Linked DNA regions of Danio rerio. The protein of the gene in region 2 purifies or fractionates together with the protein of the main gene of each other region. This does not show direct contact. Links are inferred from orthologs where the notes say so. Each region holds a gene or a part of one and is shown on either strand. Other genes may lie near its edges.

Region 1 (3,526 bases), on a different chromosome or scaffold from region 2:
AAATGACTGATTATGCATAATGATAACGCACCTCTTAAGGCACTCATGAAGGATCTGATATGGTGAGAGTAAACCTGCTTTGTTGGTCAGCTCATACACCCTTGAATCTTCAATACTGATATGATTAAAATACTGTGGAAATGGAAAACAACACACACCATAAGTACCATGAAATAAATTAATCTACTCAAAGATAAAATATAAAGAAGAGCAGCACCTCCAGTTCATCTCCCTCTACGGGCTTCTCCTCAGACGTCTGCTTCACAAAGTCAGGAATGAGGATTTCCAGTGTTGCTCGAGCTTAAACAAAAGAGAATAAAGTAAATTATTTGCTTGCAGTTATGTTGAAGCAAAATGATTTCTTGCTGAGATTACAGGACTCAAACAGAAACGGGGAAAAGATACCAGCTTTATTCTTGGCAAGTTTTTTACTACTAGCTGTTCCAGTGCCGTATGTAACACCGTCTATAATCACTGAGGCTCCGAAGGGTTCACTTGGGTTTTCTGAGGGAAAAAAAAATATGGAGACTTTACATTTAAGTACAGTATATACAAAAACATTGTATATATAAAACAAAAAACACATGCATTACAGTAGATTTAAGAGACATTTTATACAGACATGGCCCACAAGTAATTTGGTTTCTTAAAAGATTAACTCTAGGGATGGCATATGCATTATTTATGGGTTTGTTGCTCACTTTAAAAAAAAATTAATTAATAAAAAAAAACATATGTAATGGCACAGAGTAGTGGTTTTCCAGAAAATCAGGACTTTACACTTTACTTTTTATAGGGCAAGCTACAGACACAATATTGTATTTTCCCCCAACAAAAATAGTTTAAAAGCCTGGGGCTAAATATTAGCGCATTGCAGAGTAACATTGCAATTACACTTCTGAATAAATCTGTCTCTGATCCAATAATTTCAGCCAATTTAATAATTCATAGATAGACCATTTAGAATGAAAAATAAAGAAAATTCAGTGAATCACTCATTTAGACAGGGATTAATTGATGTTCTAGTGTCATTTTATCCATGAAAAAACTAAATCCAAAGTTTTTTTTTTAATCCCTTCCAAAATGTCAATATCAGAATCTTCTCTTTCAAATCCAAATATCCTTCAGCATTATGCTACTTACCACATTCAAAAAAGTTGTAAACTGGTCGCACTTTGAGTACTCTTTGCATATACTCATGTAAAATGCACACTTCTGACTTCCCATTTGGGTTGATGACAAACTCTGTAATATAAACATTGTTATTGTTGTTAAAACAGCATGTTTTATTGGTTTTAAGATTCATAAATGTATTAATTTCATAGGCACCTTTCTTTGTGGGGGCATCTTGAACAGACAGCGTGATGAGCTTCTGATTGGCTGGTAGGATGGGCCTCTCAGACTCAGCCTGTTTCCTCTTCATGTCCCTGTTGAACTGTCTGCGCTCAGCCCATGTGCGGAACTTCTTCACTGTCACTTGCTCAAAATCAAAGCACTTCTCTAGGTAGCTTCTAAAATCCTCAATTTCTGGGATACAAAACACAAGAGGAGGTTTACATGCCAGGCACATTTTCACAGTGATGTATACAGTAATCAACATCTGAAGTGGGGGGAAAATAGCTTTTCAAAATTGTCCCAAGACCAAAAATGGCTGTTAAATAATTTTATGAAAACTTTAAAAGGCTTTAATCCTCTGCAAATTTTGATTATTGTATATATAAAAAAATTATAAGTATAAAGTCCACTTACCAATAGACTCATCTTTGCAGACCTCCACCTTGGCTTTGACCTGGCCCAATGCTCCCTGTGCAGTATCCCCGGTTTGGCCATCCTTCCCCTCTATAGAAGACCCTCCTGGCTCCATGAGGTCAAGATCCGGATCTTCTGATGTTGGTCTGCCGGTGGGCTCTTCAGTGGCAGTGGAGTCAGGCTCATCGGCTCGCTCCAGTGAGATACCCTCCTCCCCAGATTTGACTGGAGAAATCTCCGCTGTCGGAGTCACCTCTCCATTCTGTTCCCTTTCTTCTTGTTCCTTCATTTTCTTGTAGTGCAGGCAGGGAATGCTACTGGTTGGTGGGTCATGTTTCTAGGGGAAAATAAGAGAATAGAGATGAGGAGCGTGAAAAAATAAATTGAACATTGTAATTGTTTAATTGCAATTTACAGTAAGTGTCATATCTTAGGCAAGTCAAAATGTTTACCCTAATGCTTCCTGTTCCAAGGAAGTAAGGTCTAGACCAGGTTACAACTCTGGTTTCCCGGTGGAGGTAGACTGGAATGCCGGAGTTATGGAATGTCATGATCCACCCATCAGGTAATGGCTCAGTTGGCGGTCGACCACGACCTTAAAAATCAAATAAAAAAATAATTATATTTAACAATTACTAAAAGTATAGCCAGCAAGAATCCAATTTAGGGTTTCGGTTTTTGTGCTATTGTCAAACTAAAAGCAATAAAAGTTGTAGATATAAAAAATAAAAATTCTAAAAATGCATTTTCTACCAAATAAAAAAATACTCCTCTCGAGTCTGACTCAAGACATCCACCTGCTTTAAAAGATTGTTTTTCAGAAATTGCTGATTTTATTCTGCATGCATGTATTAAATCGGCCAAAAAAAAAGGTTATCGTAAAAACTGTATTATTATAAAATATATATATTTTCAATATTTGCCATTGCTTCAGACTATGGCCCAATCCCAATTCTACCCCTTAGCCCTTCCCCTCACCCCTACCCCTCATTTTGCACGTTCATGTCAAGGCGTAGAGGAGTCTCAAACTCAATTCCTGGAGGGCCGAAGCCCTGCACAGTTTAGTTCCAACCCTGCTCCAACACACTTACCTGTAGGTTTCAAACAAGCCTGTAGGACTCAATTAGTTTGATCAGGTGTGTTTAATTAGGGTTGGAACTAAACTGTGCAGAGCTGCGGCCCTTTTGGAACTGAGTTTGACACCTGTGGTCTAAAGGGAAGGGGTGAATAGCCCTTCGAAAAAAGATTTTTCAGGACCACACACGAAACCAAGGGCTAAGAAAATTTCCCAGAATACACCAGCCACAACAGCAGTATTGCTAAACCCGAAAATAAGGAGATCCACAAAATGGTATTTTTGTCATTATTACAAATTTTTACAATAAGCACATGTTTTAATATATATATATACATAACTGTTTTCCCTGAAACATGAAAATGAAAAAGTTTTTTCATAAAAAAAATAAAAAAAATAAATAAAAAGCTAAATTTTACGATCTATAATCTGTAATAGCAGTCCCACAACATTCTGACACTCTAATACCGTCAGAAAAGTCTAGTGGCTGAAACTGAGCTTTTTACAGTTTCTGCTATATTGGTAATGTTGTTTTGGTGTGTTTACATAGATGAATATGGCCACTGTATAAATGCACAGTAAAGTTACGATCTTATTGTCACTTTAGATCGTTATGATAAAATAATATATGCCTTCAGTGATTTCCTGAAGATAAATACCAAAAAAAAACAAAAAAAAAAACAACTGGAATAACTACAGCAG
Region 2 (3,526 bases):
AAACAAATAAGAAAAAATGTAAATACAAATAAATAAATATGTACAAATAAAACAAACACATAAAAAACAAATATTATAATAATATAAGTGAAAAACAAAAACAAATTTATACATAATGAATAATAATAATATAAATAAACAAATAAAAATAAATATAAAAAATGAATAAAAAAATACTAAAACAAAAATGTTAATAAATATAAATAAATAAAAATAAACTAATACATATAAATAAAAAATATATAAATACAAATATATGAAAATAAACAAATAATAATAGTAATAAAAAACAATTCATAAATAAATTAAAAAAAAAAAAATATATATATATATATATATATATATATATATATATATATATATATATATATATAAATAAATATAAATGAATAAAAATAAATAAAATAAATACATTTAAAAACAATTACAAAAATAAGTAAAATAAAAATATTTTAAAAAAAACTTTTTTTCTTAAGGAGACTGAAACATTTGAATCAGGATCAGACATGTTTTTATAAATAAGATGAGACTGGGCATCTTTCAATAGTTTTAGGTCATTTTCATAAACCTCAAAGGTTGACTACTGTATATTCAAGTAATACAATTAATTCAAACAGTCTAAAGCATCAAACTTAAGTCTTAGAAATTACAACATGCATTTAAAACCAATAATAGTAGAAAAGTCTTGTAAACTGGCCAAAAAAATGTCTTTATAGTTTAAAGCGGGGGAAAATTAAGAGAATAAAGTGAGGCACCGTTGAGTGTCGATAGCCCAGACTGCACCGTCTGCCACCCGTCACAGACCACATGTTACGATGTTCCTGGATCTTCTGGAAGACGTTTCCGTTCCACCTCCTGTCCTTTTTGTATTTTTTAATTTTCTTCACCTATTCGAATGAGGCAAATAAAACAACTTGTTCTATACACTTCACATGTATATACTTAATAGAACACATATACATAAACTCTACTGTCATATATGTCATGTGCAGAGTTTGTTATTTGAAACAAGCACAAGTTCTTTGTATGAAACAAAGCACTTTACTTGCATGTAAAGTCATCTTTTATGTACATAAATTCACGTTTGCAAATGTCAATTTCCTGCAGAACCTAAAATGGGATGTTGCGTTTTTGATCCAAATACAACATTTCAGACAATGTGCTCTGTAATGAAACTATGACTAGCAATATGTCTGTAAACTGTCTGCAGTGGACTATTAGTCTGAGATCTGCTTTAAATGACTCTTCAGTATTAGGCACAGAACATATGAGAGGTCAGAGTTTTAATCCTCACCTTTCCGCTGTCGAACTCACTATCCCACTCATCAATGACAGTCAGGTTTTTAGCGTAGCGTGAATCCTGAACGGCATCTCTGCTGATGAGTGACGGATCGCCTTCCCAACTGAGAACTGATGGATGAAATGAATCAAAACAGTCAACAATTCAGCTCAGCGAACCAAATCAAGTATTCAGATGAGAACTTCAGGAGATCTTAAACAGGGTTCTTACACCGTTTCCAACTTCAAATTCCAGCACTTTCCAAGCACTTTAAAGGTGCATTTGTATGCTTTTTCAGCACCTAACAACCACGGTTAACCATGTTTATATATGTTGTATGCATTTAATCACATTTGAATCCATTGTGCTATTTTAAAAAACACAATATGACATTTCACCTTAAATTGTTGAATACTCTAGAGCATAGATTTATTGGGATAGTTCACCCAAAAATAATTAAAAAATAAATTAAAAAAGTTTAGTTTTTGGATGAAGTATATTTTTAAGTTTGAGCTCATTCTTGAGATATCAACTTTAGGTAGAAAGAGACCAAAGTCAGATTTTGTTTGGGTGTAGTCCCAAACTTTCATGACCAGTTGTTCATGATATTTCAAGTGCATTGCTATTTTTTTACAGTATTTATTAAATATATATATATATATATATATTGAATTGGCGTTTCAGATGCATTCAAGTTGCATTCTGGGTGAATTTCTCCTAAATACGTATGAAGCTAATAATGCCAAAACAGTTTAACAACTGAACAACTTAAAACTGTATTTTTTACATACCCAATATTTGCAGTCTTTGAATTCAGAACCAAAAAATCTAAAGTTTGAAAATATGTCTACAAAAATTTGACTTAAATTTCAGATGTTTAATAATCAAGTTAAGAGTTTCAAATTCGGTTAAACAATTTTTAATAGCATATAATCAGTTTTATTAGCTTACAGGTGTTAATAATTTGACAATTCAAATTCAGATTGTTTTGGCATATTATTGGCTCCATACATACATGCATGCGGTGAACGTTTTGCAATAAAAACTAGACGCATGAAAACTATTTATGCACTCGCACATATGCTCTCAAATATATTTAGAGGTCACAGATGAAATTGTGCGCATATGCAACCAAAAGTCACAATTTCGAGCCCAGCAATTTCAAATTCAAGCAGGTACAAACACTTTGTTCAAAATCCAAGCACTTTTCTAACCTTGAAAACACAATATTAAAAATCAAGCATTTTCCAGGATTTCCAGCACCCGTAAGAACCCTGTTAAAGGAGTTTTTGGAGATTTTTTTAATATTTTGGATATATATATATATTTTATATATTTTTTTATTTTTTGGATAGTTAAAAACAGTATTTGGGACATTTCATATGCTGCAAAACAGTTGCTGGATGACACTGAATGTCTGTAACAAAATATAAAACATTCAAAGTATTTTAAATAGCCACTTAAGAGCTAAAATGTGCTGTTTACGTACGTGACCACTAAGCCCTAGGAGGTTAAATGTTCTGAGGCAGTTTTGTGGAATAATTACCATCTGGATCTATGCGGCATTTCAGATACAGGTAGTTTAAAAATGCAGTACATGTAAGAGTGACATCCGGTGGTAGAATAAGGTATTGCACTTCAAATTCAAAACACTTTTTCACTGTGCCCCTCCTCTGAAATACAGGGTGCCAGATTAACGACAGCAACAGAATCGAGCCTGACTATCAGGAAAAGGACAAAAACAAATGAAAAACACATTGATTGAAAGCTCACCCTCAGTTCCATAGGCTTTATCAGAGGAGTTCTTGAGGAGCTCCTGAACCACATCACAGCTTTTCTTGCCGTCCCAGCAAACAGGAACAGCGCAGGACTTTTTGCCAGACATGTCCTCTGCTTCTTCATGATTCTGGCTGCTCTTGAATCCATCTTGAACCTGACTGTCCCAAACAATCACTGGAGCTGAAACAGAAAACCAGAGAAAGGACTCATTTGATGTCTTAAGAAACCTTAATATTTTGGGCTTTTTTTACTCAAAGGTGATATTTCAACAACGTCTTGCCATCAACAGTTGACTACTCTTAGTGTCAGGATGAGTCGTTCACTGAATTCAACTGATTTGGTCACAGCTGCTGATTAATTCAGAATAAAAAAAGTAACTGTCTTAATGAAAGAATAAAGACAACATTGTGGCAATACAGGAAACTTATATGCCATCAACTTGTCTCTTCATGTCTTTTTTTAATAATT

Evidence for each region. Proteins that work in one complex are often made in the same cells at the same time.
Region 1: the proteins of usp36 (region 2) and dgcr8 purify together in Homo sapiens (affinity purification with western blotting; 3 studies listed by BioGRID, with this or other methods). This does not show direct contact. The link is inferred for Danio rerio from reciprocal best matches to the Homo sapiens genes USP36 and DGCR8.

Annotation. Positions count from the first base shown.
Region 1 is NC_133180.1:25,180,991-25,184,516, reverse strand, and holds part of dgcr8 (microprocessor complex subunit DGCR8), read right to left. Parts: intron 2,345-3,526; coding exon 2,202-2,344; intron 2,087-2,201; coding exon 1,750-2,086; intron 1,528-1,749; coding exon 1,330-1,527; intron 1,246-1,329; coding exon 1,144-1,245; intron 505-1,143; coding exon 406-504; intron 301-405; coding exon 218-300; intron 133-217; coding exon 32-132; intron 1-31.
Region 2 is NC_133178.1:61,789,190-61,792,715, forward strand, and holds part of usp36 (ubiquitin carboxyl-terminal hydrolase 36), read right to left. Parts: intron 3,239-3,526; coding exon 3,053-3,238; intron 1,411-3,052; coding exon 1,295-1,410; intron 888-1,294; coding exon 756-887; intron 1-755. UniProt on the Homo sapiens protein: Deubiquitinase essential for the regulation of nucleolar structure and function. Required for cell and organism viability.